Linked DNA regions of Anolis sagrei. The protein of the gene in region 1 purifies or fractionates together with the protein of each later gene. This does not show direct contact. Links are inferred from orthologs where the notes say so. Each region holds a gene or a part of one and is shown on either strand. Other genes may lie near its edges.

What was found.
Region 2: the proteins of MTA2 (region 1) and BCL11A purify together in Homo sapiens (affinity purification with mass spectrometry; 4 studies listed by BioGRID and IntAct, with this or other methods). This does not show direct contact. The link is inferred for Anolis sagrei from reciprocal best matches to the Homo sapiens genes MTA2 and BCL11A.
Region 3: the proteins of MTA2 (region 1) and ZNF512B purify together in Homo sapiens (affinity purification with mass spectrometry; 3 studies listed by BioGRID and IntAct, with this or other methods). This does not show direct contact. The link is inferred for Anolis sagrei from reciprocal best matches to the Homo sapiens genes MTA2 and ZNF512B.
Region 4: the proteins of MTA2 (region 1) and CHD3 purify together in Homo sapiens (affinity purification with mass spectrometry; 8 studies listed by BioGRID and IntAct, with this or other methods). This does not show direct contact. The link is inferred for Anolis sagrei from reciprocal best matches to the Homo sapiens genes MTA2 and CHD3.

The regions. Positions count from the first base shown.
Region 1 is NC_090032.1:12,528,013-12,535,689, reverse strand, and holds the start of MTA2 (metastasis-associated protein MTA2), read left to right. Parts: upstream 1-4,670; 5' UTR 4,671-4,807; coding exon 4,808-4,835; intron 4,836-7,677. UniProt on the Homo sapiens protein: May function as a transcriptional coregulator. Acts as a component of the histone deacetylase NuRD complex which participates in the remodeling of chromatin.
Region 2 is NC_090021.1:12,866,432-12,874,010, forward strand, and holds the start of BCL11A (B-cell lymphoma/leukemia 11A), read left to right. Parts: upstream 1-4,573; 5' UTR 4,574-5,370; coding exon 5,371-5,425; intron 5,426-7,579. UniProt on the Homo sapiens protein: Transcription factor. Associated with the BAF SWI/SNF chromatin remodeling complex. Binds to the 5'-TGACCA-3' sequence motif in regulatory regions of target genes, including a distal promoter of the HBG1 hemoglobin subunit gamma-1 gene.
Region 3 is NC_090024.1:238,132,212-238,139,739, forward strand, and holds the start of ZNF512B (zinc finger protein 512B), read left to right. Parts: upstream 1-4,519; 5' UTR 4,520-4,600; intron 4,601-4,660; exon of another isoform or gene 4,661-4,880; intron 4,881-7,528. UniProt on the Homo sapiens protein: Involved in transcriptional regulation by repressing gene expression. Associates with the nucleosome remodeling and histone deacetylase (NuRD) complex, which promotes transcriptional repression by histone deacetylation and nucleosome remodeling.
Region 4 is NC_090026.1:6,301,176-6,308,255, forward strand, and holds the start of CHD3 (chromodomain-helicase-DNA-binding protein 3), read left to right. Parts: upstream 1-4,062; 5' UTR 4,063-4,393; coding exon 4,394-4,637; intron 4,638-7,080.

The DNA.
Region 1 (7,677 bases):
AAGAAACTGACTGATGGATGAACAAAGAAACAACTAAGCAGATAAGTTAAGTAACTAGTTTTTGGTTTATTAAATACAGTTCTACAGTATATTACATATATATAGCGAAATTATGGTTTTTATTTCAGGTGATACCCCACCTGAGATAATAATAATAATAATAATACTTTATTTATACCCCGCTCCATCTCTCCCAGGGGGACTCGAGGTGGCTTACATGAGGCCATGCCCATCAATACAGCATAACACAATATAACACAAAAGCATAACACAATATAACACAAGGCATAACAGAACTAGAAAACATAAAATGCAAAATCTAAATAATAAACGAGACAGCAGTATAAAATTGGACAGTAAACACACAGAAATTGCACAGGCAAGGCCAGATTTAAGGATAAAAATTAAACATTTAAAATTTTAAAACACTGGGAGATTAGGCAATGGAAACTGTTGGGGAGGGAGATCCGGATTGAGGAAGGAATTCATTGCACGAACCATAAAATAAAGTGCTTCTGAGGTCATTTGTGCGAAATTTGGGAGGGAGTATTTTAAATTCAATCATTGAAGGCACATTGGAATAACCAGGTTTTCATATTCCTCCTGAAGATTGCCAGCGTGGGAACTTGCCTAATGTCTCTGGGGAGTGAATTCCAGAGCCGGGGGGCCACCACAGATAAAGCCCTTTCTCTCGTCCCTACATGTCGCAGTTGCGATGCAGGCGGGAGCGAACTAAGGGCCTCTTCGGAAGATCAAAGAGATTGTGTGAGTTCATAGACGGAAATGCGGTCGTGCAGGTAGGTGGGTCCCAAACTGTTCAGGGATTTGTAGGGTAAAACCTGCACCTTGAATTGGGCCCAGAAGATAAATGGCAGCCAGTGGAGCTCCTTAAACAGGAGGGTTGACCACTCTCTGTAATTCGCTTCAGTTAATAATATGGCTGCTGCCCGTTGGACAAGTTGAAACTTCCGGGCCGTCTTCAAGGGCAGCCCCACGTAGAGGGCATTGCAATAGTCCAATCTAGAGGTAACTAAGGTGTGGACCACTTTGCTTATATACCGCTGTATCTCAAGCCTGAAGGCGACTCACAGCGGTTCACAAACAGTAAAAACAGTAGAAACAGCAGTGGTTCCGTGGTCGACGGTATCGAAGGCCGCTGAGAGGTCCAGCAGCACCAACAGGGACACTCTCCCCCTGTCGAGCTCCCGGCGCAGATCATCCACTAAGGCGACCAAGACTATCTCGGTACCATGTCCCGGCCTAAAGCCAGACTGTGCTGGGTCTAGATAATCCATGTCTACTAAGAATACCTGGAGCTTAGAGAAGACAATGATGCTGGGGAAAATGGAAGGCAAAAAGAGGAGGGGCCGACCAAGGGCTAGATGGAAACCAGGCTTTCGGGCAATCTGACAACTAGATAAAGACAATTAGATGACTAGGACTGACAGGACTGACAAAGTGGAATTGGAATTTGGACTATGAGATGGCGAACACTGAGCGTTAATTAGGTGAAATCGGTTTTATTGGTTTTATTGTTGCAGTGCAGAAACTGATTGTTAAAAAGCACAATTTGATGTTGGCAGCATCAAATTGTGCTTTTGTAAGCCACCCTGAGTCCCCCTCTGGGGTGGGAAGGGCGGGGTAGAAGTAACAAAGTGTTGTTACTCACCTTTAAGGCCTTGCATGGTCTGGGGCCAATGTATCTGAGGGACCGTCTCACCCCCTACCAACCCCAGAGATCCCTCCGTTCTGAGGACCAAGATCTATTGGAAGTCCCCAGTGTCAAGGCCTTGCGTCTAATGGCAACCAGATGCAGAGCCTTCACAGCAGTGGCGCCATCAGTCTGGAATGCTCTGCCACCTGAAGTTCGTGCCCTGTGGGACTTACCAGCTTTCCGCAGGGCATGTAAGACATACCTGTTTCGACAGGCTTTTAATGTTTGATACTGTTGTTTTTAAATTGTTTTAAATTGCTTTTAAACTTTGTTAGATTTTAGCTATTCTTGTAAGCCGCTCCGAGCCCCAGGGGAGTGGCGGCATATAAGTTTAAATAATAAATAAATAAATAACAGAAATAAATAAATAAATAAATGGCATCCTTGAAGTGACTGGATTGACTCTGAAGGAGCTGGGGGTGGTGATGCCCGACAGAGAGCTCTGGCGTGGGCTGGTCCATGAGGTCATGAAGAGTAGGAAATGACTGAACAAACGAACAACAACAAAACACAATGAAGTTCAACAGGGACAAATGCAAGACACTCCACCGAGGCAGAAAAAAGGAAATGCAAAGAGACAAAATGGGGGACGATGCCTGGCGCGACAGCAGTGATGTTGAGCACCCCCCCCCCCAAAAATAAGGGATAGTGACTTATAGTTCTGCAAAGGGCAAGGGCACCAGACTACACAACAAGGGTTAAGTCTTGGTCACATTGCCAAGGCACTGACAACAACAAGGACCCCACGAGGCTTTTGGGAAATGGCTAGATCTTGGGACTTCTGTCCTTTGTGAGAGTTGTAGTTTCCAGAAGCGTGAATCAGTTGCAGCACAGCTGGGGTTTCATCTGCCAGCCTTCCCAATGATCATGGACTCTCTGCCTGCATATCTTGGACTTCAGTACATACTATCTCCCTCATGAACTTTCCTCAAAGACCTTTTAAAACATTGGACTTCAGGCTTCTTCATGAAAATTAATTCTCTTATTAAATATACTTGGAATGTGGGACAAAAATGGGGTTTTGTTGCTATGAAATGCTTATGATTTGAATGTATGTATCTTGCTATGAAATATTGCCTTTCCCCTTTGCCTTTTGCCCTAGAAAATGTGACCCAGGACTGTTGAAATGCTTGAGGGAGAACCACCACCTCCCTTTCTTATTTGATTATTTCACCTCTGCATGGACAGTAGCAAGCTGAAACTTCCTCTTGTTTGCTTTGTCTGGCAGGCAAGGAAGTTTATCTGGACACTTTGATTGAATCACAAAGGGCAGGGTTGATCCCCCCCCCCCCCAGGTCCCCTGCCCCGATCCTCTTTGTTTTCCTTCACCAAAACCCATCAAGGGCAGAAAAACCTTTCTTAATAAAATCAACTTTTACTGGACAAAACAATGCCCCTCTTCCGTCCTGCCTCCCTCTCCCTGATTTGCTAAGGAGCCAAAGAGGGAGGGAGTTTTGAAACTTTCAAACCTGTATTTTCTCTTTAAAAATGCCAGTAAAATTCTGTATTGCTATGCTTGTAGTGGAACTATTCCTACAATACATCTGATTTCAGCTGAATCGCTAATAAAGACACCTCGGTCCCAGCTTCTTCCGCTTTGGTGAGGATTTATTATTTTAAATATTTTTGCTGCTGAAATTGGCTTCGCTGGCCTCACCAAGGTTCAAGGACTCTCTTTGGTGTGGTCCTCAGGATCTCCTCGGCTCGGAAGATCCTCCTAAAAGCAGCTCGATATCAGCAGGACGTGGGAAAAAGGTTTTGAAGTCCTGAACATGAGAACGAATTTCCTAACTGTAAGGAGAGCTGTCCAGCAGTGGAACTCGCTCTCTGCCCTAGAGTGTGGTGGAGGTCCTTCTTTGGAGGCTTTGAAGCAGAGGCTGAATGGCCATCTGTTGTGGGTGCTTTGAATGTAATTTTCCTGCTTCTTGGTGGAATAGGGTTGGACTGGATGGCCTACGAGGTCTCTTCCAACTCTAGGATTCTAGGATTCTATGATTCTAAGGCAGTGACATATCCGGCCCATCCTCTGTTTGGATATCAGCCAGTTACCAATGCCTTAAATCAAGAAACATCTTCCTAAGATCAACAGAGATACTTGCAGGAACACCTCAGCAAGCGAGAGTCCAAAAGTGGCAGGCTCAAACCCAGAACCTGAATCCATTGCTGATACTGAATGAGAGACTCCGTCCTGGGCACACAGAAGATTAGGTGACTTGGAAGGTGCTGAACAGGCTGCGCTCTGGCACCACGAGATGCAGAGCCAACCTTAAGAAATGGGGCCACAAAGTGGAGTCCACGACATGCGAGTGTGGAGAAGAGCAAACCACAGATGACGTACTACAATGTGACCTGAGCCCTGCCACATGCACAATGGAGGGCCTTCTCTCAACAACACCAGAGGTATTCCAAGTGGCAAATTTAGCACAATGCCAAGTTTTTAACTTTGTGTTTTTAAATACATTACAACTGCATCCTTGGCTAGCTTCTGACACAATAAAAAATAAAAATGTAAATAGTTTTAATTCTATGTTGATGTTTATTTTCTTTAGGATGTAAGTGTTGTATTTTTTATCACTGGAGTCTCTTTAGGAGAAAAAAACTGGGTGATCCTGGGCATGTCACACTCTCTCAGCCTCAAATGAGCTCCAACTGATGCGCTATTACAAGGTCGCTAGAAGTCGGGAACGCCTTGAAGTCGAACAACAAAGCCTTAGTTCCTTTCTCTAATAGGGAAAAAAATTCTGGCTCCGATCACAAACGAAAGGTGCAACCTTATAGCCGGAAACGGCCGATCCTTTCCGGAGATTCACGAGGCCCCCTAACAGCGAAAATCGACCAAAACCGAACGCCGCCCGCCGAGCGCTGGCCTCAGGCTTCGCCATTCTACGGCAAGGAACGAATCCTTTCCGGAGATTCCCGAAGCTCACCCGAGCGATTCCGGAAATGCACGAAGGGCTCAAGGCTTGGTCGGCGCTCGCTGCGTGGGAAGGAGAGGCGACGACGACGCCACCGGAGGCGGGAGGGGATGGAGCGCGGCCGGGCCCGGAGTTCCTGAGGCGGCTTGGCCGAGGCGGGCGGAGTCCGGGAGGCGCCATGGCCGCTAATATGTACCGGGTGGGCGGTAAGGCCGGAGCAGGAGCGGGAGGAAGGGAGGGGGCTCCTCGGGGCTCGCTGGAGGGGGGAGGGGCGCCTGAAGGAGCCGGAGGGGGAGGAGAGATCGGGAACTGAGGGGAAGCGGCGAGGGAGTGCGCATGCGCCTCCGGAGTTCGGCCTGGAGGAGTTCGGGGCGCTTGTGGGCGGCGGTGGAGATGGGCCTGGTCTGTGGGGAGAAGCCTGGCGCCAGGGCCGAGGCTCAGGAAGCGGGGCAAAGACCTTGGCGTCTCAATACGAGGGCGGGGGAAAAAGGGGGGGGGGGCAAATGTCATGGCTGGTTCAAAAGAATTGACAAGAAAAGAGAAGCCTGGCTTAGTTGACTCCTTGCCTGTTGGCGTTGTACGTTGTAGATCAGGCATGGGCATACTTGGGCCCTCCAGGTGTTTGGGACTTCAACTCCCATAATTCCTAGCAGCCTGGAGGGCCCAAGTTTGCCCATGCCTGGTATTATGGAAATCAAGGTGTGTTAATTACTGTAGTGTATCACAAGAAATAGTGTTTCTCAGCCCTTAAGCGACTCACAGCGGTTCACAACAAGAACAGCAAAAATTCAATGCTACAATAACACAGCATAAAAAACAGTTAACATCATAACACATTATACAGTAATATACAATTAACAACAATAGCCATTCACTAGCGTCTCGTCACTAAAAAACATGATCCAGATCCATCATCCATTGTTCCATTCCTATGTTCATTACACTCATTGCACTGACTATTCGAACACCTGCTCAAACAACCAGGTTTTCACTTTTTTGCGGAATACCATTAATGATGGAGCTAGTCTAATGTCCGTGGGAAGGGCGTTCCACAGCCGAGGGGCCACCACCGAGAAGGCCCTATCTCTCGTCCCCTCCAGCCGTGCCTGTGAGGCAGGCGGGATCAAGAGCAGGGCCTCCCCGGATGATCTCAAAGTCCTGGTGGGTTCATAGGCAGAGATGCGGTCGGATAGGTAGCTTGGGCCAGAACCGTTTAGGGCTTTAAAGGCCAACGCCAGCACTTTGAATTGAGCCCGGTAGCAAATCGGTAGCCAGTGGAGTTGGCGCAACAGGGGGGTTGTATGCTCCCTGCACTCTGCTCCTGTTAGAATCATGGCTGCCGAGCGTTGGACTAGTTGAAGCTTCCGAACCATCTTCAAAGGCAACCCCACGTAGAGAGTGTTGCAGTAGTCTAAACAGGATGTAACCATAGCCGCCGTGAATCGCCCTAGGGCTGAGAACGGCGGTCTACAAGTGCAGTAAATAAATAAATAATAAATAAATAGCGTGGACTACCGTGGCCAAGTCAGACTTCCCAAGGTACGGGCGCAGCTGGCGCACAAGCTTTAGCTGTGCAAATGCTCCCCTGGTTACCGCCGAAACCTGGAGTTCCAGGCTCAGCGATGAGTCCAGGATCACACCCAAGCTGCGAACCTGCGTCTTCAGGGGGAGTGCGACCCCATCCAACACAGGCTGTAACCCTATGCCCTGTTCGGCCTTGCGACTGACCAGGAGTACCTCTGTCTTGTCTGGATTCAGTTTCAATTTGTTCGCTCTCATCCAGACTGTTACAGCAGCCAGACCCCGGTTCAGGACCTTGACAGCCTCCTTAGTAGCAGGTGGAAAGGAGTGACAGAGTTGGACATCGTCTGCGTACAGATGACACCGTACCCCAAAACTCCGGATGATCTCTCCCAGTGGCTTCATGTAGATGTTAACATGGGAGACAATATTGAGCCCTGTGGAACCCCACAAGACAAAGGTTGTGGGGTTGAACAGGTGTCTCCCAATAACACCTTATGGGATCGGCCCTCTAGGAAAGACCAGAGCCACTGTAAAACAGTACCTCCAAGACCCATCCCCGCGAGGCGTTCCAGAAGGATACCGTGGTCGACGGTATCGAAGGCCGCTGAGAGGTCCAGCAGCACCAACAGGGACACACTCCCCCTGTCGACCTCCCGGCGCAGATCATCCACTAAGGCGACCAAGACTGTCTCAGTTCCATGTCCCGGTCTGAAACCAGACTGTGCCGGATCCAGATAATCCGTGTCTCCCAAGAATACCTGGAGTTGTGAGGCCACCACGCGTTCCAGGACTTTGCCCAAAAAGGGGAGATTGGAAACTGGCCAAAAGTTGTCAAATTTAGTGTGGTCCAGTGAAGGTTAGAATAGCACAAAATCAGTATTATACATAACTAGATTATACTATACTGCTATCCTGGAATATTATTAGTAAAAATTACATGTAATATAAAAAATATAATTATTATATTATAATATTGTATTATTAGTAATATTAGATTGTTTTACAATATTATTATATGGTATTACAATACAATATTGTAATATTGTATTACAATATTATAATATTATGATTATATGTACATAATAATGGTAAATGTTTTCCCCTGACATTAAGTGCAGTTGTGTCCAACAATGGGGGTTTGTGCTCATCTCCATTTCTAAGCCGAAGAGCCAGCATTGTCCCTAGACACCTCCAAGGTCATGTGGCCCGCATGACTGCTTGGAGCGCCATTATATATGTACATACAATATATTATAATTATTAGCATAGCACAATATTAGTATTATATATTATTGTATTGTACTATATCACTATACTGCAATATTATTAGTACTATTACATGTAATATATACTCTATAATTATTATCTTGTATTATTATTAGTATTATGGAGCCCCTGGTGGTGCAATGAGTTAAATCCTTGTGCCGGCAGGACTGAAGACTGACAGGTTGCAGGTTCGAATCCGGGGACAGCGCAGATGAGCTTCCTCTGTCAGCTCTGGCTCCCCATGCGACGACATGAGAG
Region 2 (7,579 bases), on another chromosome or scaffold:
GCATGGGCAGTTCGGAATTGTGGGAGTTGGAGTTCAAAACACCTGGAGGGAAGGCCGAAGTTGGCTCAGGGTGGGCCAACTTCCCCCCTTCTTTCCACTCCTGTTTTTTTCTCTGATTTCCCTTTCCAATGAAGGTTTTTTGTTTTGCTTTGTCCCTGTTTCCGCTTCCTTTCCCTCTCTTCCTTGTTCTTTCTCTCCATCCATTTCAGCAAAGGTGGCGAGTAAGCAGGTGTTTTCCTTCCTTCCTGCCTGCCTGTCTCCACGATCAGCTTCACCCCACTGGGTCTTTTCCACCCGCGTTCGCTTCAGGTGCCTCTCCACCTCGGGGAACCAGTGGGGTTCGTCCTTGACATTTTTGGGGAGCACGAGAGGGGTCTCTTCGGCCTCTCCCTGATCACCATAAGTGCACAAACCGCGATTTTCCTAGTTCAAAAATTGCAAAATCCATCCTCCTTACACCTTTCTCCAAAGAAGTGTCCCTGGGTTCCTCTGTTTGCTTTCTTTCCCAATGCCAAATGCAAAGGTTGGCAAGCCAATGGGGATTCCCTAAAGGAAAGCACAACAGGTAGCTGTTCCTTCTCTTCTGGCCGCACTTTCCCGACAATCTGAATTACTGCTGTTTGTTTACGTTTGAAGGGACGCTTCCAGGACAGTTTCACGCACACACAACCTCGTTTGGGGATAGATTTGGACATTCACAAGGTTTGAGAAGAATACTGACTCACAAACAATTCGATTTTCCACAAAAGTCTACTGGGAAAAGGAACCCCTTTGCACTTTCCCACTCGGAAAACATCCCCAGCCTCTTCCCAGTACTATCGCGCGATGAACTCGGGATTATGACAGCCCTATCTGCGCTCTGAGAAAGCTAAAGCTCTAAAATCGGGACAGTAAATAAAAAGCAACACTAAAAAAAATAAAATTCCAGACAAGAATCAATTAGCGTTTAATGGCCTGGCAGCTTCAAAGCCTGGCTGCTTCCTGCCTGGGGATGAATCCTTTGTTGGGTTCAGTAACAGTAATCAGAGCAGTAAAAAAAATAATCAGGGCCAGCTAATACCTCCCAACAAAGGATTCCCTCAGGCAGCAACCAGCCAGGCTCTGAAGCTGCAAGGCTATTCGATGCTAATCAAGGTGGCCGATTGTAACATTCACCCCTTCCTCAAGCAGACAAGAGTTCTTTCTCCCACCCTGGACATGCCACAGATATAACAAAGGATTCCTCCCTCGGGCAGCAACCAGCCAGACTTTGAGGTTGCAAGGCTATTCGATGCTAATCAAGGTGGCCGACTGCAACATTCACACCTGCCTCAAGCAGACCAGAGTTCTTTCTCCCACCTTGGATATACCACAGATATAACAAAGGATTCCCTCGGGCAGCAACCAGCCTGGCTTTGAAGCTGCGAGGCTATTGGACGCTAATCAAAGTGGCCGACGCACCGGCCTCAAGGAGACAAGAGTTCCTTCTCTCACCCTGGACATCCCACAGATATAACAAAGGATTCCCCCCGGGCAGCAACCAGCCAGGCTTTGAAGCTGCGAGGCTATTCGAAGCTAATCAAGGTGGCCAACTGCAACGTTCACACCTGCATCAAGCAGACAAGAGTTCTTTCTCCCACCCTGGACATCCCACATACATATATACTACACAGTCCACTTGCCTAGTTTCCAATAGACCTCACAACCTCTGAGAATGCCTGCCATAGGTGTGGGTGAAACGTCAGGAGAGAATGCTTCTGGAACCTGGTTCGGAAAACTCACAGCCAAGGGTTTAATCCCCCGTTAAAGAGGGCGGTAAGCAATCCTGCTTTCCCTGAAGGTTTTGGATTGCAACAGAACGATTCCTAAAGCGGGTTGATGTCGGTCCCATTTAGAATGTGTGTCTCTCTCTCACACACACCTTGAGTTCTCAACCCATCCTTGCAAATATTTTATTTTTCCAAAAAGAAAGGGAAAAGCCAGTCACGAGACCCCTGGATTTTATCTGACACAATTTCGGTCACCAGGTTTAACCTCCTAGCTATATACTACCGCCCGACACTCTTCAAAGGGTAGCTAACCCGCGTTAAATCCCATGTGGAGCCCTGGGAATAGGTAAAGGGGCTCAGGATTGGGAAAGGAGGGAGAGAAGGGGGTCCTGGTGGGCCTCTCTTGTGGAAGAGCAGCCCCTTCCCAGTGGAGAGGGAGTGGGGATCCTGTACAGGACATGTGGCAACGTTACCTGGTTGCAGGGATGGGGGCCAACTTGGGCCCTCCAGGTGTTTTTGGACTTCAACTCCCACAATTCCTAACAGCCTACTGGCTGTTAGGAATTGTGGGAGTTGAAGTCCAAAAACACCTGGAGGGCCCAAGTTGGCCCATGCCTATTTCAACTCTTCTGCCTTCCCCTCCCGAGGTCCCCCCCCCAGTGACCAAAGGAGGGAGCCGGGGGGGGGGCAAAGTGCTAGGAGACCCCCCCCCCCCAAAGCAAGCACCCCCCGGGCTTGCCCCCCCCCTCCCGCGCCTCCTCTCCCCAAACCCTTCACCTCTTCCTTTGGTCACCTCACAGAGACTTTTGCAACGCTTGTGAGTAAGAGGAGAGGAAGGAAGGAAGGAAGGAAGGAAGGAAGGTAAGAAAGAGCAAGGAAAGAAGGGTAAGGGAGGAAAAGGTAAGAGCAAGCAAGCAATGAAGGAATTAAGGAAGGAAGGGAAAGCTACGAAGGGAGGGAAGGAGGGAAAATTAAGGGGAAGGAAGTAAGGAAGGAAAAAAGGTAAGAGCAAGGGAGGGAGGGAGGGAAAGGTAGGAAGGACGGGAGGGAAAAGTAATTGGAAGAAGGAAGGAAGGAAAAGGAAGGAAGGAAAAGGAAAGAGCAAGCAAGAAAGAAAGGAATGAAAAGGCAAGAGGAAGGAAGGGAAGGTAGGAAGAAAGGGCAGGGACAGGTAAGAGGAAGGGAAGGAAAAGTAATTGGAAGAAGGAAGAAAGGAAGGAAGGAAAGAAGGAAGAAAGGAAAAGGAAAGAGCAAGCAAAGAAGAAAGAAAGGAACTGAAAGGTAAGAGGAAGGAAGGAAGGAAGGAAGGAAGGAAGGGAAGGGAAAGGTAGGAAGGGAAAAGTAAGAGGAAGGGATAAAGGAAGGAAGGGAAAGGTAGTAAGGAAGATAGGGAAATCTAAGGAAGGAAAGGGGGAAAGGAAAAGGAAAGAGGAATGAAGGAAAAGGTAAGAGCAAGGAAAGAAAAGAAGGGAAAGGGAGGGAAAAGTAAGTGGAAAGGAGGAAGAAAGGAAGGAAGGAAGGAAGGAAGGGAAAGGGAGGGAGGGAGAGAGGGAAATCTAAGAAAGGAAGGGAGAGAGGGAAAGGAAAGAGGAATGAAGGAAAAGGTAAAAGCAAGCATGGAAGGAAACGATCGAGGAAGGAAAGAATTAAGGTATGAAAAGGTAAGAGAAAGAAAGAAAGGAAAGGAAGGATGGGAGGAAAAAGTAAGAGGAAGGAAGGAAGGAAGAGGTAGGGAGGGAGAGAGGAAGAGGAAGAAAGGAAGGGAGAAACGGGTGAAGGGAGGAAGGGAAAGGTAGGGAGGGAGAGGAAGAAAGGGAGAAAGGGATGAAGGAAGGAAGGAAGGAAGGGAAAGCTAAGGAGGGAGAGGAAGAAAGGGAGAAAGGGATGAAGGAAGGAAGGGAAAGTTAGGGAGGGAGAGAGGAAAAGGTAGAGAGGGAGAGGAAGAAAGGAAAGGAGAAAGGGAAAGGAAATAGGAATGAAGGAAAAGGTAAGAGCGAGCATGGGAGGAAATAATTAAGCAATGAAAAGGTAAGAGAAAGGAAGTAAAGAAAGAAAGGAGAGGGAGGGAAAAGTAAGAGGAAAGGATGAAGGAAGGAAGGAAGGAAGGGTAGGAAGGGAGAGAGGGAAAGGAAAGAGGAATGAAAGAAAAGGTAAGAGCAAGCATGGAAGGAAAGAATTAAGGAATGAAAATGTAAGAGAAAGAAAGAAGGGAAAGTAGGAAGGGAGAGAAAAGTAAGAGGAAGGAAAAGGTAAGGAAGAATGGAATCTTTTTATGGATTTTATATATATATAAAAAGAGGGGGATCGCTCTGAAAACCTCGAGCCCTTCTCCCCCTCCTCCTCCTCTAGGAGTGTCCCGTCGCCCTATTTCCCCTCCTCTCAGGTGCCCACAACCCGCCTTTCTTTCCCCTTTCCTTCCCTGGCCACTCTTTCCTCTCTTTGACGCACACCTCTTTGGGGCGCTTTCTTCTCCGGACGCCCTCTCCCTTCGTGTTTAAAGTCCTCGGAGGGGCTGTACCCTCAGACTGAGACTCCCCCCAACCCACCCACCTACCCACCCAGACACCCTTTGTCCCAGGCATGGGTGTCCCAGGCATGGGCAAACTTCGACCCTCCAGGTGCTTAGGACTTGTGCCCCTGCCATTGGGCACTGGGCTTCCCCTTGGCGCCCTCCTCCTCCTCCTGCTTCTCCTCCTCCTGCTCCTGCCCGGCGTGCGCCTCCTCCTCCTCCTCCTCCTCCCCGCTGGCCATTGGCTTGCCCTACTACTGCTGCTGCTGCTCCCTCCGCCGGCCTGCCTCTCCCTCCTCCTCCTCCTCGGCTTCGACCTCCGCCTCCTCCGGGCTGCCTGCCTCTTTCTCTCCCTCCCTCCCTCCTTCTCCCTCCTCTTCTCTTCTCTTCTGGGGCTCCTGCCCTGTCCATCCCCCGCGGAGTGTCCGTCCATTGGCGTGGCGCGCTGCTCTCTCTCTCTCTCTCTTTCTCCCTCCTCCCTCCCTCTCTCTCTCTCCCTCCCTGGGCTCCCGCCTCCTCCTCCTCTTCCTCCTCCTCCTCGCCCTGCCCATGTTTTGTATGTCTGTGTCCATCCAGGCGCTTGACGTTCAAGTTCGTCGGGAACGTCACGTCCGCACTTGAACTTGCAGCTCAGGGGGGCTTTTGCCATTTTCCCCCCCTCATCTCTCTCTCTCTTTCTCTCCTTCTCTTCTTCCTTTCCTTTCCTCTCCTTTCCTTCTCTCTTTCTCTCTTTCCCTCCTCCTCCTCTGTAAAGAAGCACGGAAAGAAAAAGCCAAGCAAAGAAAAGAAAAAAGAGAAAAAGCCAAGCCATGCCTGCTCTCCCACCACCGCTACCACCACCACCATTCATCTTCCCCGCGCCATCTTTGTATTCTTATTTCTAATTTATTTTTGGATGTCAAAGGCGCTCGATGAAGAGCTCGGCCGGGAAGGGAGGGATGTGAGGAGGAGGAGGAGGAGGCGGAAGAGAGCCGGGGAAGAAGAAGGAGAAGAAGAAGCAGGGGAAGAAGAGGAGAGGAAGAAGGAGGAGGGCTGCCAACGTTGCTGCCGCCGTTGCTGCTGCTGCTGCTTCTCCTCCATCTCCAGCGCCAGCGCTCCCGCCGCCCCTCCGCGATGTCTCGCCGCAAGCAAGGCAAGCCGCAGCACTTAAGCAAGCGGGGATTCTCACGTAAGTAACACGCGAGAAGGGCGAGCACTCCTCCGGCGCCCACGGGCTGGCTTCCCACCTGGACTCCGGCGCGCGGGTCCTCCTCGCTCTCCACTACCTTCCTTCCATTCTTTGGGGGGGGGGGGGGAAACCCAAATAATACAAACCTCCAACCCAGACCCGCCTCCCATTCATTCATTCCTTTCCAACCCTACTTCTCCCAAGTTCCCTTTTCATTCCTCCGCTCCGAAACAACTCCATCTCTCCCTTGGCTTACTTTTCGAAGACCTTCCCTTCTTTTCCTTCTTCTCTCGCGCTCTGGAAAAAGAAAAGTTGCCTCTCTTCTCCTCTCAAGTCCCGCTTCCCCCTTTTTTCCCTCCCCATTCTGGATCTCTCTCTCTCTCTCTTCTCCCACCCCTCCTTTTCCTTTCCTTTCTTTCCTTTCCCTCCTCCTTCGCCCCATTGATTCGTTCGAGCTCTGCGTTTCTCTCTTTCTCTAGGCGCGCAAAGGAGTCGCGCCTCTGGAAGGAAAAGGGTTGGAGACGCGTGGAACGGGGTGTGTGTGTGTGTGCATTGTGTGCGCCTCTCCAGTGCGTGCATCCTGGCTTGAAGGGCGACCGGGAGGGTTGGGAAAGCACCCGCTTGAAGAGAGAGACCTCCGAGGGAATGAAGGGTCCCTTTCCTTCCTTCTTTTGGCCCCCAAACTCCAGGTTTTGCAGAAAGAGAGGAAGCAGAAACAAACTTAATAGGTGTGTGTGTGTATGTATATGTATGTGTGTGTAGTGCGTGCATCCTGGCTTGAAGGGCGACGGGGAGGGTTAGGAAAGCACCCACTTGAAGAGAGAGGCCGCAGAGGGAATGAAGGGTCCCTTTTCCTTCCTTCTTTTGCTCTCCAAACTCCAGGTTTGGCAGAAAGAGAGGAAGCATAAACTAATAGGTGTGTGTGTGCTGAATGCAGCCTGGCTTGAAGGGCGACGGGGAGGGTTGGGAAAGCACCCACTTGAGGAGAGAGGCCTCAGAGTGAATGAAGGATCCCCTTTCCTTCCTTCTTTTGCCCTCCAAAAGAAAGAGAGGAAACATACACAAACTTAAGGGGTGTGTGTGTGTGTAGTGCATGCATCTTGGCATGAAGGGCGACATTGGGAAAGCACCCACTTGAAGAGAGAGGCCTCAGAGGGAATGAAGGATCTCCATTCCTTCTTTCTTTTGCCCTCCAAACTCCAGGTTTTGCAGAAAGAGAGGAAGCATACACAAACTTAAGGTGTGTGTGTGTGTGTAGTGCATGCATCTTGGCTTGAAGGGCGACATTGGGAAAGCACCCACTTGAAGAGAGAGGCCTCAGAGTGAATGAAGGATCTCCATTCCTTCTTTCTTTTGCCCTCCAAATTCCAGGTTTTGCAGAAAGAGAGGAAGCATACACAAACTTAAGGTGTGTGTGTGTGTAGTGCGTGCATCCTGGCTTGAAGGGCGACGGGGAGGGTTGGGACAGCACCCACTTGAAGAGAGGGGCCTCAGAGTGAATGAAGGCTCCCCTTTCCTTCCTTCTCTTACCCTCCAAACTCCAGGTTTTGCAGAAAAAGAGAAGCATAAACAAACTTGAGAGGAGCGTGTGTGTGAATACAATGTGTGTATCCTGTCTTGAAGGGTGAAGGCGAGGATTGGGAAAGCACCCACTCGAGGAGAGAGAGACCTCTGAATGAATGGAGGGTCCCCTTTCCTTCCTTTGCACCCCAAACTTGGTCAGAAAGAGAGAGAAGCATAAACACCACTTGCTTCTGCATCCAGCTCCCTCTCTAAAGGAGGGATTCCCTTCTTTTTTCCCCCCTCTCCCTCCCTCCCTTCCTATGCCTCTCTCGTGTGCAATTTTCCCTCTTTGGAAGGTTTTCAAGAGTGGCCGTGGATTGTGATTGGGGGAAAAAGGGAAAAATCTCGTGCGCGGCGTTGTTTACAAGGCTTGCCGCGTGTGCGGCGGAGCGGCTGCCAGCAAAACAGAGCGGCGGAGCGTTGCCACTGAGGAGAGGAAGACGGAGAGAAGGAGAAAGAAAGAGAGAAAGAAAGGAAGGGGGAAAAGCCAAGGGGAGAGAAAGAGCAGAGCCAGCAGAGCAGCCCTCCTCGGAGGTGGCTCGCATCCCCTTTCCAGATCTAGCTTATCTCTCTCTTAATCTAGACCAGCAA
Region 3 (7,528 bases), on another chromosome or scaffold:
AGGCCACAGTTGCCCACCTCTGCTTTAAATGCCAATATCAAGGACAATTTTGGCAAACAGCTATGGAAGCAGCCAACAAAACGTCTGTGCGCTTGTGATCAAACACATGCAAAAAAAGTGAATATGAAATGCAGATACATCCACCTACACAGATGACAGATGATTAAGTGAAGGATGCCTATCCAAGAAGTCCAAGGGGTGGGCTACAAAAAAGCAATAGAGCCCATATGTGACCTTAAGCCACAATTGTATTATTCTAGTTTAAATAAAGTAGGTTACTGGTGTTTACTGGGATTTGGTTCTGGGACACCCACCCCTCCCATGGATCCTGAAATCTGTGAAGGCTGAAGTCGCATTATTGATAAGGCTACAATTGAGGGAGTTCCTCTTGGGTGCTATGCAGGGCCACTCAGATGTCCAGAACATTGGATTGGCCCCAAATTAATGGTCAGCATAGAACAGTGGTTCTCAACCTGGGGTCCCCAGATGTTTTTGGCCTACAACTCCCAGAAATCCTAACAGCTGGTAAACTAGCTGACATTTCTGGGAGTTGTAGGCCAAAAACATCTGGGGACCCCAGGTTGAGAACCACTGGCATAGAAAGAGGCCATGGTAGCACATCAGTTAAAGCTGGTAGCTGCAGGAAAGGCTGCTGACCGGAAGGTCAAAAGTTCAAAGCCGCGAGTTGGGGTGAGCTCCTGACTGTCAGTCCTAGCTTCTGTCTCCCTAGCGGTTCAAAAGCATGCAATGCAAGTAGAGCAATAGGTATCACCTCGGCAGGAATGTAAATGGGTGCCCCATGCAGACATGCTGGCAAAAAGATCAGAGATGTCTATGGACAGCAAGCTCCTTCAGCATGGAAAATGGAACAAGAGCACCTCCCCATGGCTGGAAGTTGAGCATCACCTCCAGACACCAGAGATGGAAAAGGGGAAGTCCTTTACCTTATCTGTGTATTGTATGTCATTGTTTATGTCAAATGTAAAATGGCATTGAATGTTCGCCTGATATGTGTACTGTAATCTGCTCTGAGTCCAGGGAGATAAAGCAAAATATAAATACAGTATATTATTATTATTATTATTATTATTATTATTATCTCAGTCATCCACACTTTTTAAAAGTAATCTTTATTAAGAGTTTCCGTTAAAAGCAATAAAACCATGGAGAAAGGAGAAAAAGAAAAGAAAGGTAAAAGACAAAGAAAATACAGAAAGAAAAAAAGAGAAGGTAAGCAAAGAGAATAAAGTTAATGGATAGAAAGAGGTAGAAAAGAAAAAGAGAACACACACACACATAGTTAAGTAATATAGAATAGAAATAAAAAATAAAAAAAGTTTATTGACTTCCAATAAAGTGTATTATTATTATTATTATTATTATTATTACTATTACTATTATCAATCATCCACACTTTTTGAATGAGCTGGTGGAGTTGTGTCAGCTCAGGTCCACCGTCTTTAAAGATTTCAGCAGGGATCCCATCAGGTCCGCTGGCTTTGTTATTTTGTTGTTGTTGGCTGATGGTGTTGCTGACTTCCTCCAAACTAGGCAGTGCTGCAGGCTCATCCCTGATTTGTTGTTGCAGGATTTGTGGGAGAACCTCAAGAACAGAAAACAGAATGTTGGTGAACAGGAAAAAGAGGCTTAAAGCAAACCTTAAAAACTGTGGCATAGACACCAAGAACTGGGAAGCCCTAGCCCTTGAGCACTCTAGCTGGAGATCAGCTGTGACAAGCAGTGCTGTGGAATTTAAAGAAGCACGAATGGAAGGTGAAAGAGAGAAACATGCCAGGAGAAAGGTGCATCAAGCCAACCCTGAAATTGATGCCCTCACTGTGGAAGAACATGCGGGTCAAGAATGGGGCTAAACAATCACGTACATACCCACTGCCAAGACACTGCACTTGGAAGGCTATCATACTTGGACAATGAGGGATCACCTAAGTAGGACACAGTGGAGCAATGGATTCAAACTGCAGGAAAAGAGATTCCCCTTAAACATTAGGAAGGGAAAACCTGTTTGGCAGTAGAATGTGCTGCCTTTTAGGGGTCACCTTCTCTGGAGCTTTTGAAACAGTGTCTAGCTGCTGTGTCGGACTGGATGAGGGCTAACAAATTGAAACTCAATCCAGACAAGACAGAGGTCCTACTGGTCAGTCGTAAGGCCGAACAGGGTATAGGGTTACAGCCTGTGTTGGATGGGGTTACACTCCCCCTGAAGACTCAGGTTCGCAGCTTGGGAGTGATCCTGGACTCATCGCTGAGCCTGGAACCCCAGGTCTCAGCGGTGGGTGGGAGAGTTTTTGCCCAATTAAAACTTGTGCACCAGTTGCACCCGTACCTCGGGAAGCCTGATTTGGCCACAGTGGTCCACGCTCTTGTTACATCCCATATAGACTACTGCAACGCACTCTACGTGGGGTTGCCCTTGAAGACTGTTTGGAAACTTCAACTGGTCCAGCGAGCGGCAGCAAGATTGCTCACCGGAGCGACATACAGGGAGCACACCACCCCCCCTGTTGTGTCAGCTCCACTGGCTGCCGATTCAGTTCTGAGCACAATTCAAGGTGCTGGTTCTGATCTACAAAACCCTGTACGGTTCCGGTCCAGCGTATCTGTCCAAACATATCTCCCTCTACGTCCCACCCCGGAATCTGAGATCATCTGGGGAGGCCCTGCTCTCGACCCCACCGCTATCACAAGTAAGGCTGGTGGGGACGAGGAGCAGGGCCTTCTCAGTGGTGGCCCCCCACCTGTGGAACTCATTCCCAGGGGAAATCAGGGCATCAACATCCCTCCTTGCCTTCAGGAGGAAGGTAAAGACGTGGTTGTGGGACCAGGCCTTTGGGCACCCTGACAATTAGATACGGAAACCAGATGGATAGGACCGTATTCTCTCATGTCCCCGCGTGGGAAGCTGGAGCTGGCAGATGGGAACTGCCAGCTTTGTGGAAATCCAAAGTTCCAATTTGTGGAAATTGGAACTTAAACTATGAGTCTGCGAAACGCTGACCATCAATTGAGGTTTGTATTGATTTTAGTGCTTTTACTGCTTTTATTGGTTTTATGGTTGTTTTTGCCATTAATAATTATTGCTTTCTGTTAATTGTGACTGCTAAAACTGCTGTTTGTTAACTGTTGTTATTGTCCTTGCTGTTATGTAATGCGGGCATCGAATTGTGCCTTGCTTTTGTAAGCCGCCCTGAGTCCCCCTCGGGGTGATAAGGGCGGGGTAGAAGCAACCGAAATAAATAAATAAATAAACAGTGGCTGCTGCCTGGCAGAGGAACCATCTACTGCAATGTGTGGAAAGAATATGCCCATAAATCTTGTACTGCAAGAGTTTTCCTTCCCCAGTTCTTCTAATATTTGATAGCTTTAGTATACCCAGGAACTGAAGTTTTGTCTCTTTTGTATGAAGTCTGTACTTTTTTTGGTGCATTCTCCTATTTGGATTTTGAAGCAGTTCGGAGTCAACCTACAGTGGTGAAACAAACTCCAATGAAAATGCACAAAAGAAAGGACCTTCATGTTCACCAGTGCTTTGGGGTTTGTGTAATCACCACCTGGATCTCAAACTGGTTCCACGATTTCCTCTGCAATCCTCTGCACAGCGAAACTACTTTCTTGTATCAAAATACTGGTTTGAACAGGAGTCTCCAGTGGCGCAATAGGTTGAACCCTTGTGCCGGCAGGACTGCTGATAGTCGGTGGTTTGAAACCAGGGAGCGGGATGAGTTCCCATCTGCCAGGTCCAGCTTCCCATGCAGGGACATGAGAGAAGCCTCCCACAAGGATGGTAACACACCAGGGCATTCCCTGGGTAACGTCCTTGCAGACAGCCAATTCTCTCACACCAAAAAGGACTCAGTTTCTCAAGTCGTTCCTGTCACATACACACACACAATACAAACTGGTTTGAAACTGACTAATGTGGTCATTGCAGATCAGGCATGGGCAAATGGGCCCTCCAGGTGTTTTGGACTCCAACTCCCACCATTCCTAATAGCTTCAGTCCCTTTCCTCCCCCCCCCCCCCCCCAGCTGCTTAAGTGAGTGAGAGAGAAAGGGAAGGAGTCTGAGGCTGTTAGGATAAATAAATAAATAAATAAATTTCCTTCGCCTTGATTAGAAGGCTCCTTAGCTCCTCCTCGCTTTTGGCCATCAAAGTGGTATCATCCGCATAGCTAAGGTTGTTAGTGTTTCTTCCAGCAATTTTAACCCTGGCCTTGCATTTGTCAAGCCCCGCACATCACATGATGTGTTCTGCATACGAGTTGAATAGGTTGGGTATGACCAGGCCAGCATTATATCAATGTTAACTTGAAGTCCAAAACATCAAGAGGGCCTAAGTTGGCCCAGGCCAGCATTGTATCAGTGCTAACTTACTAAAGAGAGGCTGTGTGGCTCTCTGTTGGGAGGGCTTGGCTTGTGCCTTCCAGCCTAGCAGAATGGGGCTGGAATGGGGAAGAAGACAGTGGGGGGGGGGGGGTCCCTTGTGTTTCCAAGATCCTATGCCTCTAATTATCCTCGATTGGGTTTGAAGGAGAAAGAGAAAGAGGAGGCCAGAAGTACAAGTTCCTGCGAGGCTGTCAGAGGTAAACGAAAGAAGGAGGAAAAGGAAGAAGCAGGAGGAGGAGGAGGAGGAGGAAGGAGAGAGAGCGTGGGGGAGAAAAAGGAAGGGAGAAGGGAGAGAGAGGATCTGGAGCAAAGTGTGTGTGTGTGTGTGTAGGAAGAAAGGGGGGGGGGTCCTCCGCGCATGAGCCGCTCCGCCTGGGCGTCTTTGGCGTCGTCGCCGGTGCGCGTTGGCGCTGTTGGGGCCCCCCTGGAGCCGAGCAAAGAGAGAGGGAGAGGGCCCTGGCTCGCCCACCCGGCCAGGTAAGGCGAAGAGCCCCCTCCTCCTCCCGGCACAAGCCAGCCAGCCCCCTGCCCTGCTCGCTCGCCAGCCCCGGCTCGGCCTCGCCTTGCCCCCTGCGGCCTTTGCCCAAGCCCGGGCCCTCCTCCGCCTTGGCTTCCCCCTTCCTCTCTCCCCCCCCTCCCCCTTTTGCCTTTCAACCACGATTTGGACACACAAGCCCGGGCTGGGGAGACGTCTCCAAAGCAGAGCGAGAAGGAGAGCCATCGCGTTTCCTTTTCCCCTCTTCCTCCCTTTCTCCTCTCTCTCTCTCTTTTTCCCATCCCTCTTTCTCTTTCCCCTCCTTCTACATAAAAAAGTCGCCATTTTGCTTCATTGCTTTCCCAAGGCTTGGGTGGCTTTCATTATTTATTTTGCATGCCTGTCTCGAGATGGAAATTGTGGGTTCTTGTCGGGGTTGGGCACCCCAAGAAGAGGAGGAGGAGGTCGCGGCGCCCGAGTCCTTTGGCCTCCTCCTCCTCTCTCTTTCTCTCTCTTTCCCCTTTTATTTCCAGAGGAGGGAGGGCAGGATCTCAGGGTCCTTGGGGCTGGCAAGGAGGTCTTCTTCTCTATTTCCTTCTTTTTGCAAATCTATGCCCAATCTGCACAGTGTAGACAAGATTGCAACACAGTCACAAGCCTGCAGTCTCCATTTCCGCCTTGTGCCACTCCATTCACTCGCTCCCTTTCCCCCAATTCACACAGCAATATTGGGTGAAAAGTAGCAGTTTTTGTATCTCTTTCTTGCTTTCCTTCCTCCTTTCCCTTCTTTTCCTCACCTCACAGCTTATTATTTGGTGAAAGTAGCATTTTTTGTATCTCTTGGTTGCTTTCCTTCCTCCTTTCCCTTCTTTCCCCCACCTCACAGATTATTATTTGGTGAAAAGTAGCAGTTTTTGTGTCTCTCTCTTGCTTTCCTTCCTCTTTTCCCTTTTTCCCCCACCTCCCAGATTATTATTTGGTGAAAGGTAGCAGTTTTTGTATCTCTTTCTTGCTTTTCTTCCTCCTTTTCCTTCTTTTCCCCACCTCGCAGCTTATTATTTGGTGAAAAGTAGCAAATTTTCAGTTCTTGTGGGTTTTTTCGGGCTATATGGCCATGTTCTAGAGGCATTTCTCCTGACGTTTCGCCTGCATCTATGGCAAGCATCTTCAGAGGTCTGCTGGAGCTGGGAAAAAGGGGTTTATATATCTGTGGAATGACCAGGGTGAGACAAAAGGCTCCTTTCCTTTATTTTTCCCACATCACAGCTTATTATTTGGTGAAAAGTAGCAGTTTTTGTATCTCTTTCTTGCTTTTCTTCCTCCTTTCCCTTCTTTTCCCCATCTCACAGATTATTATTTGGTGAAAAATTGCAGTTTTTGCATCTCTTTTTTGCTTTTCTTCCTCCTTTCCCTTCTTTTCTCCAATTCACACATCAATATTTGGTGAAAAGTAGCAGTTTTTATATCGCTTGTTTGCTTTTTTCCCTCCTTTTCCTTCTTTTTCCCCACATCACAGATTATTCTTTGCTGAAAAGTTGCAGTTTTTGTATCTCTTTCTTGCTTTTCTTCCTCCTTTCCCTTCTTTCCCCCAATTCACAGATTATTATTTGGTGAAAGTAGCAGTTTCTGTATCTCTTTCTTGCTTTTCTTCCTCCTCCCCTCTCTCTCCTGTCTTCAAAAAAAAAATCCCAAATAGAAATAATAGATACAGATGGGAATAGATAGAAGCCCGCGGTTGCGCAGTGGGTTAAACTGCTGAGCTGCTGAATTTCCTGAACAAAAGGTTGCAGGTTCGAATCAGGGGAGCGGCATGAGCTCCCACTGTCAGCCCCAGCTTCTGCCAACCTAACAGTTTGAAAACGTGCAAATGTGAGTAGATCAGTAGATACCACTTCGGGAAGGTAACAATGCTCCATGCAATCATGTCGGAGCCCCCGGTGGCGCAGTGGGTTAAAGCCCTGTGCCGGCAGGACTGAAGACCGACAGGTCACAGGTTCGAATCCAGGGAGAGGCAGATGAGCTCTATCAACTCCAGCTCCTCATGCGGGGACATGAGAGAAGCCTCCCACAAGGATGATAAAAATATCAAATCATCCGGGCATCCCCTGGGTAATCTCCTTGCAGATGGCCAATTCTCTCACACCAGAAGTGACTTGCAGTTTCTCAAGTTGCTCCTGACACGAGAAAAAAAATGTCGGCCACATGACCTTGGAGGTGTCTGTGGACAATGTCGGCTCTTCGGCTTAGAAATGGAGATGAGCACCAACCCCCAGAGTTAGACATGATTGGACTTAATGTCAGGGGAAAACCTTTACCTTTACCTAGGAATAGATATTATTAGTCACTATTCATGCTTTTGTGGTTACTTTTTTGTAATGGCTGGAAGGGAACAATCAAACATGGTGCCTCTCAAAATGCAAGCAATCTGCACTTTAAGGAAAGCAAGCAAAGAAGAGGGAAGAATGGGGAAAGACAGGCAGGAAGCATTTGTGCTTTGGGCTGTTGTGAGTTTTCTAGGCTATCTGGCCATGTTCCAGAAGCATTCTCTCCTGACGTTTTGCCTACATCTATGGCAGGCATCTTCAGAGGTCATGAGGTCTGTTGGAAACTAGGATTTGCTTTGGATAGTTAGGGTTGGTTTGCATCTTTT
Region 4 (7,080 bases), on another chromosome or scaffold:
GAAAGACAAGATGCTGTTAGTTGAACTGTGGGAATAAAAACACACACACACCATTATAATAATGCGATAGATTCCTTGATGGGATTCTTGATGCTGACTGCATTGTGAAGAAGCATCAAAGGCAGGCAAGAGACTGAAGGAAAAAGATGTTTTCCTTTTTGCAGACTGCTCCCTTGAGCAATGAGGACCAAGCCAGAAAAAGCAAAGGTCAAGATTCAAAAAGGGGTTTCCCTTAGTGGGAAAAGTTGGTTTTTTTCTCCAGTTCTCGCGGCTTTGTTTTGAACCAATGAGTAATATAATGCTTCCAAACTGATTGCATTCCAGGCTTGAAATCAGAGGATGCTGCAACCAGTTTCATCTTTCTCCTTTCCACCAGGAAGAGAAAAATGCCTGGAAATTGCATTTTAAAAGGTTTTGATAGCACAAAGCCTCCCAAGCTCTTCCTTCGAGCACTGACTTCCAGCACTGCCAGGGAAATGTTTCAACGTGAGTGAATGGGTCTGGCGCCCAAGCTCCTGGAGGGCTTCAGAGGGTGTTGCGTTAAATATAAAAGCCACATGGGGGATAACGTTCATTTGGCAAGCTCTTTCTCCTGCAGGCACAGTGACTCCTCTGTGGACACTTAGAACTAGTCTATGGGGAGGATCGGCTCAGGCTGAACATGTTCACTAAAGAACAACCATGCATTGGCTTTGATTTCTTCCCATCCTGGCCAACCTTTTAAAAAGAGCGCACCATTGCTGCAATCCCACTGTCTTCACTGGGAATTATTAGGATGTGATAAGATATAATAGAAGGACATTTATTCAGAAAAGATTATTTTGAAATTTATCGCTTTTTTATCCAAGTAATGGAGAGACCGTCATATGTCAATAGGCGATTTGAAAGCACATACGTGTCCTCAATATGTGACATCATTTTTTAATTCCTTCAAAGTTAAAATGGAAGCATATTTGCCAATTTATGTCCTCAAAGATAGGGTTCAACTTTGGTTCATTACTGTGTACCTTGAAGTCAATTTGCAGTTTTGGTGACCCCAGGGCAGCCTTATTGTATAACTGTCTCAACAAGATGATGGTTTGACTCAATTGGTCTACCTTTACTTGAAACTACCAATAGGACTGAAGCCTGTGTATTGAAGATATTCTAAATTCCAAAACATACAGGACTTTAAAAAAAAAGAACTGAGAATAGAGAAACATGCATATACTGAAAATCTTATGCATACTATCTCTGACACAAAACATTAATCCTTAACATAGCTATTGTCCTAAATGGGACTACTCCAGAATAATGGTACTCACTGTTTATAGATAATATGTTGGTGAGATCATCTTTCAACAACATGATATTTAGGACCACAAATATTTTTTCCTTTCATATAAGGAAAGGAACGTAGGCCAGGTTAAAAAAAAAGGAAGAAAAGGAAGCACAGCAAAGGAAAATACTGAAATGTTAGCACTATTGATCAGTGTTACAATCTTCAGTAGTAATTTTTGAAATTCGCAATTTAAGCATGCTTTTTAATGTTAATGAAATAATAATTGTATTTATTTATTTAATTTGTCTGCCACCTTTCTCCCAGTGGGAACTAATCCAACTCCTAAAGAGACTAAATAAAAAAATCCTATGTCATCAAAAAATAGTCCCAAATTTGCTGGAAAGAACATGTTTCCTTTTTTAAACCCATGTTAGATACTACGAAAGAAGCTATAGTAGAGAAGCTGGGCCTTTTAAAGCTGGATCTGCACTGCCATATAATGCATTTTTGGAAGGTGGATTAACTGCATTGTACTGGATTATATGAGTCTACACTGCCATTATATCCTTGGCCATTCTGGTTGTGATTAATGGGTGGCTAGAGTCCAAGAAATACATGGAGAGCCACAGGTTATGTAATACTGACACCCTCTGTTACTTGCTGTATTGGTAGGATGGCAAGCCATGCTTTACTCAGATTTGGCAGACACTAAAGTGAAAAAAGAATGTGAATAATCCAGATTTAAACAGCAAAACAAGGGCTCCTTAATGTTTCCTTACGCTTCTGGAACACATTCCTGTCACCAGGGGTCAAGACCTCTTCTCTGTGGCCACAAATGAAAACTTATGCTTCAAACTCACATGATGAATGTGATTTTCCTTATTCTTGGCAGGGGGTTGGACTGGATGGCCCACGAGGTGTCTTCGAACTCTATGATTCTATAACTCACTAAAAATAAGGCTCATTGATATGAAATCACAGCGGCTGTCTAAAATATTATAATAGCCTCATTTTTAATATTTGTTTCCCTTTAGTGTTGTTTTTACAGTTATGAAATGAGGTGAAGCCAGTTATGGGTCATTATTATTATTATTAAACTATATTTGTACCCCGCTAGCATCTCCCAAAGGACTCGATGCGGCTTACAAAGGTCGAGGCCTCAACATAACAACAACATAAAACAATACAACTCAAAGCATATCAAAAACATAAAGCAATATCAACAAAACATTACATCATAAACAGTAAAACCAAGGCCGAGCCAAGTAGTGGGTACAGATTAAAAAAGTGCTGGGTGTGATAGGCGGCATATTGGATTTCAGGGCATGTGCAATGTGCAGAGGATCTTAAAACTCTAATAAAGTGCTTCTAGGACATAGTGCTGAAGTTTCCTATTCCGGGAAGGCACATCGGAACAGCCAGGTCTTCAAGCTCTTTCTAAAGCCTGCCAACGTGGGTGCTAATCTGATGTCTTTGGGGAGGGTGTTCCAAAGTCGGGGGGCAACCACAGAAAAGGCCCTATCCCTCGTCCCCACCAACCGCGCTTGCGACGCCGGTGGGATCGCGAGCATGTTCAAGAAGTGTGTGTATGTATATATGGGTGTGTGTGTATGCATGGTATTTTTGGTTTCAGTTGAATTTAACCCTGGGCTGGATTTTGTGGTCAAAATTATTCCTAAAATCTCTTTGGTGAGAAAAAAAACCCAGCTGGGAACAAAGAGATTTGGAAAGACTTCACTTGAATTTGATCTTAATTTTTTTTATGCTATAAACAAAACCTTTCTATTTTTATTTTTTAAAAGAACAATATATATATACCTTAAAGGGGGGTATGAATTATTATCAGAATTGACTCCTCAAAAATCATTTCTGTATACACTCTCCTTTATGTGAATAGGATCTTATGTAAAAAATCTCCTTATGTGAATAGGATCTTATAATAAATTGCAGTAATCAGTGTTTTTTTTCTCCCTCCCCTCTCTTTCTGTTCTTCCTTTCTTGCCCTGGAGGAGAAAAAAAGGAGAGAAATAAACCACTCCCTTCTGAAGTATTTAAAGTTAGAGAGAGAGAGAAAAAGAGAAAGGAGGGGGGAGATGGAAATAAAACACCCCCTATTCTTTCTCCTTTGAATGCTGGTAAAGCAAGACACACACATAACAAAAGTCACAGTCTGACTGACTAGTATGGAACTAGTTAACCTTTAACAATTTTATGCTGATGTCATAACTGAGCATGAGTACTGATTAATCCAACCTTTTCTCTTTCTCTCTCTCTCTTCCCCCTCCCTATAAAAAATATTTTTATTGAGGGAGGGGGGGGGGAGGGAGAGCATAAGGAGGGAAAAGGGGGGGGGGGAGAAAAAGAAATAATTTAGAGCAGCCATCTTTGTTTTATGCAGAAATCTTGTCAGTTTCCCCCCAGTGCCAGGAATGTCTAAATATTGTTCATGATCACACAGATCTTAAGAGGAGATTGGGGGGGAAAGAAAGAAAGAAAGGAAGGGAAAAAAAGAGAAAGAGAAAGAGAAGGAAATATAGCCAAGAGCAAGAAGAAGAAGAAAAGAAGCTTTTGTTTTTAATTTTTAAAATTTGGAGCTGATTTTTTTTTTATTTTGGAAAGGGGGGGAAATCTTTCTTATTCTTTTTTTTTAACCCTGAGGGGGTTAAAAAGGCAGCCATTTTTTTAAAGATATATATAAAGAAGGGGGGAGTTATATATATACATATATACCTCCTGAGGAAGAAAAAAAGGGAGGGATTGAACAGAAAGGGGGGGAAAGAGGGGGGGCATTTTTGTTTTAAAAATAATTTAAAGGCGGCCATTTTTGTTGCTTCTTCTTCTGGTGGGAAAAAATAATTATTATCCCTCAGAATTTAAATATTATATTAATTTTTTTTAGAGAAAGAAAGGACCATATCCAATTAGGAGATATGCTGGATTGTTTTTTTAAAAGACTTAATGATTATAAATTGGATTTTTAATTCTTTTTGAAGCAACCTGAGAAGAAAAGAGGAGGAAGAAGGGGGGGTCGTGCCCCCTCCCCCTATTTTTTCTCAATCAATCCATTTTTTTTGCTATTTTCCTTCCTTTCTTTCTTGTTTTTCTATTTTTTTTCTCTCCCTCAGCGCCACCATGGCTTCTCCTCTGAGGGAAGAGGACGAGGAGGAGGAGGAGATGGTGGTGTCTGAGGCGGAGGGCGACGAGGACGGCGACGAGGAGGAGGAAGAGGAGGAGGAGGAAGAAGGAGAAGAAGCAGGAGAAGAAGAAGCCAGGAGGGAGGACAACAACAACAGCAGCAGCAGTTGCCCGGGCGGCGCCGCCGACATCTTCCCTCCCGCAGCACCAGCCTTGCCGCCACAACCGCCGCCTCCGCCAGGTAAACATCAACAAAGCTTCTCCCTCTGGCTCTCTCTCTTAAGTAGGGGGTTTTGGCGCCAAAACTGCCCCAGTCCTAATCTCCCCAGCAACAAGGGGACAAACAAAATCTGCCCCGGTTACTGAGAGAAAGGGGGCGCTGTGATTGGTGGGGGCTGTTTGTCAACAGCCAACGGCTTTCGAACGCTGAGCGGCCGAAGGTTCCAAACCGACCGTTGAGGGACCCGCCGTTCCGTCCCCCCGACACTCCCCCCTCCGCGCGCTTCTCTTCCCCCTTCCCCTCACCCCCCTCCCCCCCACTTGGCCTCCCCCACTCCCACCTTTTGACCTCCTCCGGGGATGGCCTCACCCGCCACCGGGTGGCTTTCGACGCTGTGGTGGCTTGGTCTTGAAATATTTGGGGTTTTCCTCTCCCTCCCAAGGGGGTGGTGGTCCCGTCCGAGGCAACAGCCGCTTCTTCACTTCTTTAAGCGACTCCTCATTTCCACTCAGAGGTTCCCAAGAGTTGCCAGGCTCTCCTTCTGAGCCTCCAAGAGTTCTCAGTTTCTGCCTGCTAAAAGTCTCAGGCCCCTTCCACAGAGCTGAATGAAATCCCATATTTTCTGCTTTGAACTGGACTATATGGCAGTGTGGACTCAGATAACCCAATTGAAAGCAGATATTGTGGATTATCTGCCTTGATATTGTGGATTATCTGCCTTGATATTCTGGGTAATATGACTCTGTGGAAGGGCCCTCAGGGTCCAGGCAACGTTGGGCAAACTTCAGCCCTCTAGGTGTTTTGGACTTCAACTCCCACAATTCTAGAACTTGCTAAGGGCCCTTCCACACAACCCTATATCCCAGAATATCAAGGCAGAAAATCCCACAATGTCTACTTTGAACTGGGTTATCCACACTGAGATAATGTGGGATTTTCTGCCTTGATATTCTGGGATATAGGGCTGTGTGAAAGGCCCAGAGGGCCCTTCCACACAACCCTTTATTCCATAGTATCAAGGTAGAAAATCCCACATTATAAGTGTGGACTCAGATAACCCATTTCAAAGCAGACATTATGGGATTTTCCGCCTTGATATTCTGGGATATAGGGCTGTATGGAAGGGCCCTTAGTAAGTTCTAGAATTGTGGGAGTTGAAGGCCAAAACACCTGGAGGACTGAAGTTTGCCCATGCCTAGTTTGACCTGTCAAGCAGGCCTTGAGATGGAGAGGGAAGCCTCCTCTTTTGGACAGGAATCTGTCTTATGTCAGACCCCTTCTATGCAGCTGTATCAAAGCCACACTGAACTGGATTATACGGCAGATAACCCAGTTCAAAGCAGATATTGTGGATTATCTGCCTTGATATTTTGGGTTATACGACTGTGGAAGGGCCCTCAGGATCCAGGCAACAGTGGGCCCATCCACACACTAGGAATGGGCAAACTTCAGCCCTCTTGGTGTTTTGGACTTCAACTCCCACAATTTCAGAACTTGCTAAGGGCCCTTCCACACAGCCCTATGCCCCAGAATATCAAGGCAGGAAATCCCACAATGTCCGCTTTGAACTGGGTTACCTGAGTCCACACTCAGATAATAAGAAACTTTATTATTATTATTATTATTATTATTATTATTATTATTATTATTATACACTTTATTTGTATTATTTATAATGTGGGTTTTCGATATTTTCTACCTTGATAAAATCCCACATTTTTTTCTTTGAACTGGATTATATGGCAGTGTGGACTCACAACCGAGTTCAAAGCAGATATGGTGGGATTTTCTTCCTTGATATTCTGGTTTATATGTGTGGATGGGCCCTCGGGGTCCAGGTAACAGTGTGGACTCAGGGCCATGCCATACAGCCATATCACTCAGGCCCTGCCACACAGCCCTATATTCCAGAATATCAAGGCAGAAAATCCCACATTATCTGCTTTGAACTGGGTTATCTGAGTCCACACTCAGATAATGTGGGATTTTCCACTTTAATATTCTGGGATATAGGGCTGTGTGGAAGGCCCAGAGGGCCCTTCCACACAGCTGTATAAAATCCCACATTTTCTTCTTTGAAGTGATTATATGGCAGTGTGGACTCATAACCCAGTTCAAAGCAGATATGGCAGGATTTTCCGCCTCGATATTCTGGATTATATGACTCTGTGGGAGGGCCCTCAGGGTCCAGGTAACAGTGTGGACTCAGGGCCTTGTCATACAGCCATATAAATGGCACATTTTCTTCTTTGAAGTGTATTATATGGCAGTGTGGACTTATAACCCAGTTCAAAGCAGATATGGTGGGATTTTCTGCCCTGATACTCTGGATTATATGACTCTGTGGGAGGGTCCAGGCAACAATGTGAACTCAGAGCCCTTTCACACAGTCCTATATCCCAGAATATTAAGGCAGAAAATCCCACAATGTCTGCTTTATACCAGGTTATCTGAGTCCACACTG